Oryzias latipes: one gene and its partner. The main gene of each other region encodes a partner of the protein of the gene in region 2 in a complex. Links are inferred from orthologs where the notes say so. Each region holds a gene or a part of one and is shown on either strand. Other genes may lie near its edges.

Region 1 (4,358 bases), on a different chromosome or scaffold from region 2:
CTTGAGTTTGATGGACAGAGGGATGGTATAGAAGAAGACGTTGATCTGGAAGACGCAGAGGAAGAAGAGGCGGAAATGTTCAAACATTTCGGCAAAGAAATACCAGAAGAGGCCGATGTTGGGGGTCAGGTCAGGAACGGAGAGGCTGCAGGGAAACCAGCAGGAAACATCCATCACACGGGGGAGAAACCATCTCTAAAACCCTTCACTCCTCCTCATCCTCACTCACATGAAGCCGTAGACGGACGGCATGTAGTCCCAGGAGCCCAGCAGGAAGAAGGACAGGCAGACCAGGACGAACAGGCTGCCCAGGTACATGAAGAGGTATTGAACCACAAACCACCAGAAGCTGACGCGCCGGAGGTTGACCGGGATGTACTGACGCTGCAGGAGCAGACGCAGGGAGACGGGAGTCAGAGACCAGGAGAGCGCCGGGACGCTCCCGTCACTGGGAGGAGACGCACCTGCATCAGGTAGAGCATTGCAGGAGCGCACAGGGTCAGAGGGTAGACGGACTGATAGGTGGCCAGACACAGGAAGATGGCGCTCAGCAGCACGTTTCCTGAAACGCAGAGAAGGTCAGAGGTCCAGGCGCCAAACAAGGGGTCCAGCCGGAGTCTGAGGGCCGACCTTTGACCGTGCAGAGGATGAAGAGAGAGATGACCATGTTGTTCAGGCCGCAGGTGGACTTGGCGACGCAGGACAAGATGGTGAACGGGTTCAGCAGGTAACTGCGGGAGAAGAAGAGCTGAAGCTTCTGCTGGTTCCGCCCAGAGAGCGGAGGGGGGCGGAGCTCTGAGGAGGACTCACAACATGGCCACTTTCAGGGGGACGTAGTGCATCTCTAAGGGGGTCCTGATGAGCTCCAGACAGTCCGGGGGGTAGCGGTCCGCCTCCAACGCAAACTTCTGTTTTCTGAACTGTAAAAACACGACAGAGTCTGGGTGAGAGCAGATCTACGTGCAGAGGTTCTGCAGCTTTCTCACCACTTGTTTGTTGTAATCCTTGGCTGCTGCGTACAGCGCCGCGGCCGTCACCACGTCTGCCAGCTGAGGACACAAAGCAGAGCTCCACACATCCGCCACAAACCTCCTGACGTCCAGAACCTCCTTTAGGGACTCACCATGAAGGTGATCTCTGCATAATCCACCAGGAAGTGGAAGAGGTAGATGATGAGCGGAGTCTGCGGACAAACACATGTGGTGAGGTCCGGCCTGAGCGTCCGCCGTTTCCCACGTTCAGGTCGGACGAAGGTGTCACCTTCAGGTGTTTTGGTTTGTGACTCACCTCGTGGAAAACATCTCCAGAGTACGGAGACACTCCCAGGTCAAGCAGAGCCAGACCCTCGATCACTGCAACACAACCACACCACAACAGAGTCCTCAGTCTGAGGCGGTAGGTTCATGATCAGGAAGATTCATCAGAAAAGGATCCAAACCTCAGAACCCACAAAACATTTAGACTATTGTCTGTTTGAGCAGCAGGCTCCGCCTCCAACCTCCTGAACGGTTGACGTCCCCGTCCTTTTGTAAAGTCAGACCGCATCCACAGCACACTAGGAATGCTACCCTCTCTGCCTGCTAAATACGTCCCGTTGGCTGCTGTGACTGAATATTATGGTCTGTTTTCTGCCGTGCTGAGTTCACAGATCAGATTTGGTTAAATGTTCCACATTTCCTCTCGTCGTGAATCAGGGAAAACCTGTTTAGAGCTGCAGAGATGCATCAGAAAAACGAAGCGTTCTGGTGGCATTTTTCTGATGATGGGGACAAATATGAAGAAAATGAAGCTTCAAGTTGCATTTCTGAGTTTTTCTTTATTCAAATCGTTGTGAATGAGGAGCAGACGAAACTATGCCGTTTGAAAAACATCCTATTTGTGATGTCGACAAAAAATATCCTGGGCGGGGCCACAAACTCCCAGCTCCGCCCCTTTCTGATGCATCCACCTGCAGACAGGTAGAGAGACCCATGAACGTCTTTGTCTTCCTGCAATCTGGATCAGAACTGAGCGGCTGGACAGCTGCGCTAATGTTAGCGGGAGAGCGTGGAAACAGAGAGCTCTCAGCAAAGGGGAGGGCAAGGGGGGCGGGGTTGCTCCATGCCAACAGGCAACTCAGAGGAGAGGTGGATTTCTACTGAACTCCAGCTGCTCTGCAGAAACTATGTCCTAGAAAAAGACAGGATTTTGGGCTAAAAACGGCATCATCATCAGAAACAAACGACCGGGAACAATCTGACAACAGATCAGATGATCAGGAACATGGATGAACCCAAACATGTTCTTCATCCATCAGAACCTGCAGGACAACCCAACAGCTCCTCTGCAGAACCTCCTGTCGTTACTTTGACTGAAGTCACTTTCAGTTAATGAAGGCGTTACAGCTCTGACAGTGTCATATTCAAATGTAATAGATTACTTGTACGAGTAACAATCGATGATAATAATCAGAGATGAGTTCCTTCAGTTCGGGGTTTTTTTGGGGACCAAAAATCGGATCAGAGTCCGAGTCTGACACCGTTTCACCTTCGTCGACCATTCTCCAAACATTTACAGATTTCTTTTGTGACAGATTTTGTCGCCGAACCGGTTTACCGGCGCAGCGGGGAGGCGCGCGGGTGCGAGGCGTGTGTGACCGGTGCGCTCCGGACCCCCGCCGGCGGCCCGCTCACCTCTTTTCCAGGCAGTAATCGGTGACACCACCTCCACCCTCTCTGAAATCAGCTCCGCCAAACTGGACCGGAATAGAACGGCACGGACCGTCACGGCGACAATCATTAGGAGCGTCAAGGGAGCCGCCATCTTCGCGAGGAAGCTCTCTCGCCCTGCGCTCGAGGTGCATGCTGGGAAGTCAAGTTTATTCCGTCTCGTCAGGAAAACATTTACCTCCAACCTCCACAGATTTACAGTCCAAGCAGCGATAAGGAGCGAGTTTAATAATAATAATAATAATAATAATAATAATAATAATAATAATAATAATAATAATAATAAAGGAACATATTTACAAAAAGACTATTTAAAACGCATAATTCAAGCAATTAAAATCAAGATTAGAATTTTGTTTTAATCAAATATTGTATTTAATTTTATGTGTAAAGGTAAATAAACACATTTTAAACAACTTGAAAAGGAGTTTAATCTCAACAGAGGAGTTTTCATATGATCTTGTTGTTAGTTCTAATTTTGCATATGCTGAATATACATAAAGACGCTGTAATTTTAAACAATAATATAGCACATATTACAGGCGTTTTTCTTTAATCACCCCGGAATGCGGAATGTTTTGTCATTTGCGTGTTTTCAGTCGAAAGATTTATGTGACGGATCAAAACAAAACTGCAACTCGCCGTCTAGTTGGAATAAACTATTTTACTGTTTCCGGGGGCGTATTTAAAAATAAAATAAAATTAACGCTTTTGTGGGCCTGTGTTAGCGTCACGTTGAAGTAGATTATCGTTGTTCGTTTTAAAAATATCTGATTACTAAATTGTGACTGTATCACGTCTACAATACTATTTTAGCGTGTCGTATGTGTTTTCTGCAATCCTCTAAAAGCCACGTGCTTTTACTTTGAAAATCCCTGCAGGAAGTCGCTGTGGTTGTTATGGAAGCGACGACTCTGCGATTTTTGTTTTCTGTTCTTGTTCTGTGCTGTTGGTTTGTGAGACAACATGGCAGGCTTGGAGGTGTTGTACACCTGCGTCACAGGTAGCCTGACTTGTCCTCAGGACGCCCTCGTGTGTTTCGTTCACTGGGAAATGATCAAGGGAGGATACCGGTGCATCGGTTCCGGAGACGAGGTGGGTCGAACTAGCTAACTTAAGCAGAACCAGAAGAGACAAACCAACAACACATTCTGGTTTTATTTAAACACATTTAAGATACGAGACGAACCAAGTTAATGCTGTTTGTTTACTTTTAGATCGTAGTTTGTTGACAGCCTCTGAAGTCCCTCTGAGTTACAGTTTTGATTTAAACTCTCAGTCTGTGGGAATAAATGTTAGCTTTGCTACATTAGCAGGAGGATCAGGATGGAAACTGAAACTGTCCTGCAGGCGATTCAGAGGAAACCTCCGCTGAGTTGGTTCTTCTTCCTCCATCTAGGTGACCTTTGACCTCCTAAAGTTCTGCATTGAGTCATGTTTTAGTCCGATTTTTAGTCTCGTGCAGTTGGCACGCGCCATTTGGTCTCATACTAAACAAATGGACTTTCCGCAAAAAGTGTCACGTCATCTTTAGCGCGGGGGGGGGGGCACAGAAGCGTTTGAAAGAGAGGGTGTCTCACCCCCCCCCCCCGCCCCCGTCCCTCCCCCCAGCCCCGCAGCGGTGACCGGAAGTCGGAGCTCCTGCCTGCA
Region 2 (4,596 bases):
GAACTTCTATGAGACCTAAAGCCTTGCTGTTTGAAACACAGGTCAGCGAGAAGGCGGCACAATTATGTTAAACAGTTCATTTAATTTTCTATTTTTGTGTTGCATTTGGGGCCTGTAAGGCATCCTGAGCGTCATGAAAGCACTACTGAAGTTACTTTATAGATAGCGCTCACCTGTGACATTGGTGTGATGGTATCCCTCCAGCCAGGCCTGCATCCCAATCAGATCATGCTCATTCACCAGAAAGATGATATCTTTGGCCCAGTAAACCTGATCTGTTAGAAAGAGGAGAAATTATTGAGAAGTTTCATCTCAGATGGAGGTCATTTAGACCAGAGTTTTTCAACCAGTGTGCCGTGGGAAATTACCCATTCACTCATCTAAAAACATTTACCATCTCCAGGATAGGTTTTATGTTAGGTTACATAAAATTGCATGTTAATAGACTGGAGGAAAAAACAACTACCAGGGAAAAATGTCAAATAATTTAGTTGAAAATTATTACTGAAAGCTAACTTAACTTTTATTACATCTTTTAGAAAAAAACAGCAGCAACTTCCAGCTTTTTCTGCCACACATATCACAAAAATGCATGCGAGATTGCAGAGGGACTGTACATCTATATATGTTTCTCCTTTTTTCATTTTTGGATGCTGGTGTGCTGCGGGATTTTTGTCCAGAATAAAGTGTGCCTTGGCTCAAAAAGGTTGAAAAACACTGATTTAGACAAAAAAGAGCGACTCTTTCGTCTGATCTGTGTCGATGAAGTACTCACTCCGGAAGTAATGGGCCAAACCGAGCAGCAGTCCCACAGCCTGGTTGTTGTTATCACCTGGAGTGCAGGGAGCACTGAGCACCAGCGCTTCGGTCCGCGGAGCTCGAGGTGCTCGGAGAATCCCATAAACATTTGTACCTTTTACAACCTGCAAGGAAGAAAAAAAAAAGACATATATACTCAGAAAATGGGTATGTTGTCATCTGAACACTAAAAACACAACCAAACTGGAAGATTTAAACATAAATTCAACAGAAACGTACGTATCTTTCAGTGTTTTCATCGGGAAAAGGCAGCGTGCGAGAGAAGCTCTGCGTGAAAACCTCCAGCCCTCGAGCCTGCATGGTTTTCACCAGCCAGTCCACCGGCATCCCACTGACGAGAAGCCAAGAGGAACAGCTTAGTTAAGCTTAAGGGGAGATTTTGTAGGGGGAAAAAAACTCATTTCTGTATTGATACAATCATTTTACCCGACTTTCTTCTTGTGAGCAGCAAACTCTCGGCCTGTAGCCAGCGCTCTCTCGCCTGCAGGGAAGCGCTCCTCCACCATGGTGGATCCCATGGCGTTCTCTGACATGTAGGTCCGCAGGGTGAACGGCTCAAACGCCAGACCCATGAACCAAGCAACACCCGCAAAGTAGCAGACGAAGCTGACGAGGACAGGCGTGGAGAATTTAAAACATTCTAACACTCAGTATGAGAGGAGCAATGGAAAAATAACACAACTCACCAGATTGGAGCATTGAGGCGGGTCAGCAGTTTGATCAAAGCCTGCCTTCTATTGGGGTCAGACAGCAGCCCCATGTCGTCTCGTTATCCTGGATATGTGGATCTACTGGAACCAGAAGGCAGAAAAGGTACAGACCACTAACAGACAGACCTCCAGACCTTGATAATGCAAATGAAGAGCTCTCAAATGATGAACACAAAGGCCGTTCAAAGGGTTTCAAGAAATGCAAGAGCTTTGATAATACAGGGAAGATTCAAGAATCAAAATAATAAGTTAAAATCCCAAATTATATTCATTTCATCTGTGCCACATGTTAACAATTATTGCGTATTTGACAATAAATAGATCTGATAGGTGTTTAAGTGGCTATACATACAGTTTTGTTCACCTTTCAGCAAATTTCTTCAAGGGTCGCCACAGCAAAACAGCTTGTGCTGTTTTCACAGAGGTGGTTTGGGCGGATTTTTACGCGACACAACCTATATTTAACCAGGCTAGGGACAGTGACAGGGGGACCCGTTGGGCTGCCTCTGTGGCTACATAGTTAGGCAGTAGCAGAGGCTATAAATCGAAATCCATTCCTTTTTCTGACTTTTAGCCAGCATAAAAACCTGAGAACCGCAGTGATGTGGTCGGTTCTCCTGGCTCTGACAGCAAAGTTCTGAATGAGCTGCAGCTTTGTTGTCTTTACTTATTTTTCAAGAGGAGCATGTTTCAGTCATCCAGCCTGCACGAAATGAAAACTCTAAAATCTGGACATGGGATCTCCGAATCTCAATATTTGATTGATTATGTAGATATTATTTAGTTGTGGTCTTAATCTGAAATCTGATATGACTTTATGATGATGATTTCTAACTTAACTATTACTGTTTTTTCCTATAGGAGAAACAGCCCTTCAGTCATATTTCATTAGACGTCACTTTTAGCTCGGAACCAGACATTGAAGAAAGCTACTTTAGACAGAGGAGCATGTTGGGATTCACTCTCACTAACTCCTGCACTGATTTTTGGACGAATCCATGAGCTTGTACCACCACGCAGAGAAAAATACAACCGTTTTAGAATCATTTAGACTTTTTTTTAGCTGGTGTGGTCGTGATAAAAATAATTATAACTACAAATATTAACATAATGTCTTCTGACTCTCGTCGTTTCATTCAACTTCATGAATGATGGTTAGCTTAATGCTGCTAGCTTCGACAGAACAGCATCGTTAGTATTTAAAAATATATACCATCCGTCAAAAGTGTAAACGTTGTTTATAAATGTGATATATTTAAGACGTAAAAAAATGTACCTCAAACCTAGTCACACTTGCAGAGGCGACGCTTCCACACCAGGGCTGCTGAAGTATTTTGTTTCCTTGTTCCCGCGGGAACGTTAATTCTGTGGACCAACTTCCGGTCTGAAAAATGCATATCCGGTCAAAAATGAAATACATCTCTATTTATCAAAATATTCCAGAGGTGGTGTAAAATGTGATTATTTAAACTTAGTCACGCATCTTTTTGTAATAATCAGTGAAAATGTACTTTAATATGCAATAATTCTAATAAAGATTTATGTAAGAAAAGTTACTTTAAAAAGTAAGTTACATTAATACCAATTTTGTTTCAGCAGGTAAAGAAAATGATAGATTATTCAGCCTCAACGGACTGAAACTCTTACAAAACATGTATTGTATTGTGACATAAAAATTACTTTTACAACAAACAAAAGCAAAAGCAGAATAGCCTGTCTGCAAAACAAATCAAAGAAAATTAATCTAAAAAAAAAAGACTAAACACATGAACAGAGCATTTCATTCAGGAATAAAAAGTATTGTTTTGGTGAAAATTTGTAAGATATCAACACAGCTAAATAAATTGGATATAAGAATTATCTAATTTTTCACAAATTGTTTACTCTTACGGATGTGTGGTTTAAAATAAAGGTTCTTATTGTATCAGTCTGAAAACAAAGCTTTATTATCTGTTTATATATAAAATGCTGATGTTGCTGTTTCAGTTGATCACATTGATTTTTGCATCAAAAACAGGTCAGTTTTCAGCTAATAAAACAAATGCAAATACAAAGAAACGATATACATTCACATTTATTCTTTATGCACAAATATACTTAATAAAATGTTAAGAATGACGACAAAATAAGTGTTGATCCCAGGAAACCATTTGTTTACTCTTTCCTTCACCATTATTCTCTGAGCGTAGAACCTTCTTGGAGATGTTGCCTGACCACCTGGTCCAGGACTTTGCTCACACCTTTACAAGCGGTCATTGCCGCCTCAATCAGAGTGTCGAGGTGATCCTGATGCAGTCTGGCATCCATCTGGACCAGAGCGATCTGCCCTCCGCGGGGCAGAAGCGCCAAAGCCAGAGAGCTCACTCCTCCGCTCTCCTCTGCGTAGCAAAGATCGGCAAGAGAGGTTTCATCCACGAAGCCCACTGTGCAGGCGCACACATAGTCCCTCATCGGTATCCCTGCGTCGATCACTGCCAGTGTGGCGGCGTTCACACAAACGCTGTAGTTCCCCCCGTCGGACTGAAGAATCTTGAATGATGAAAACGTTCTTAAAACAATGACGAAAACAGATGCTATGAAGTAGAGCGCAGTATACTATAAATCTAAGGCCAACCTTGACATAGATGTCTATCTGGGAGCGTGGGTAGAGCTGGGTCAGCACGGCAGCTTCAAACGTTTGCTTGAGGTGAAGGCTCATTTCTGTGGACTTGCGGTCTCCGTGCGGTCTCCTCTTCCTCTCCGCCGTGCTGAAGGTGGCCATGCTGTACTGGCAGTTGATAATGGCTCTGTCATGAAGAGCCCGACTACGAGCACCTCGAATCTGAATGGGAAACAGGAAGTAAGCATAGGAGAACCATAAAAAAGGTCTGACATTTTTCACAGGGCGGCATACATCTGTCCTTTGAGTAAAACAGCTTTTTAATCCATCATCAGAGGTAAACCAGACAATAAAAACGCCAGACATGGGAGAGTTTGAGGTCAACGGCACAGATGAGCAAAAACAACATCTCAGGTTTTCCATCAGAAATATCGATGTTCTACAAGATTTAGGAAAGACTTTCAGGAC

What was found.
Region 1: the proteins of gpaa1 (region 2) and pigu are in contact, whole or in part, in a cryo-EM structure (PDB 8IMX), measured with the Homo sapiens proteins. The link is inferred for Oryzias latipes from reciprocal best matches to the Homo sapiens genes GPAA1 and PIGU. Residues at the interface, in NP_003792.1 of Homo sapiens: Gln245, Leu310, Arg311, Arg313, Phe358, Leu359, Ile371, Ala389, Leu390, Trp393, His397, Leu500, Ile504, Leu508, Cys512, Leu515, Thr516; in NP_536724.1 of Homo sapiens: Tyr349, Ile355, Phe356, Cys360, Ile363, Val364, Leu367, Leu368, Val371, Leu372, Leu375, Ile377, Tyr378, Ala379, Gly380, Ser381, Phe386.

Annotation. Positions count from the first base shown.
Region 1 is NC_019863.2:32,755,010-32,759,367, forward strand, and holds the start of pigu (phosphatidylinositol glycan anchor biosynthesis class U protein), read right to left. Parts: upstream 2,849-4,358; 5' UTR 2,803-2,848; coding exon 2,673-2,802; intron 1,353-2,672; coding exon 1,288-1,352; intron 1,184-1,287; coding exon 1,124-1,183; intron 1,050-1,123; coding exon 987-1,049; intron 921-986; coding exon 811-920; intron 732-810; coding exon 631-731; intron 563-630; coding exon 465-562; intron 385-464; coding exon 230-384; intron 146-229; coding exon 2-145; intron 1-1. Other genes in the region: psmf1 (proteasome inhibitor PI31 subunit), read left to right, coding at 3,675-3,803, 4,320-4,358. UniProt on the Homo sapiens protein: Component of the glycosylphosphatidylinositol-anchor (GPI-anchor) transamidase (GPI-T) complex that catalyzes the formation of the linkage between a proprotein and a GPI-anchor and participates in GPI anchored protein biosynthesis.
Region 2 is NC_019875.2:26,756,903-26,761,498, forward strand, and holds the start of gpaa1 (glycosylphosphatidylinositol anchor attachment 1 protein), read right to left. Parts: upstream 2,930-4,596; 5' UTR 2,806-2,929; intron 1,611-2,805; 5' UTR 1,580-1,610; coding exon 1,506-1,579; intron 1,426-1,505; coding exon 1,246-1,425; intron 1,151-1,245; coding exon 1,039-1,150; intron 924-1,038; coding exon 776-923; intron 276-775; coding exon 174-275; intron 1-173. Other genes in the region: exosc4 (exosome complex component RRP41), read right to left, coding at 3,702-4,058, 4,144-4,350. UniProt on the Homo sapiens protein: Component of the glycosylphosphatidylinositol-anchor (GPI-anchor) transamidase (GPI-T) complex that catalyzes the formation of the linkage between a proprotein and a GPI-anchor and participates in GPI anchored protein biosynthesis. Binds GPI-anchor.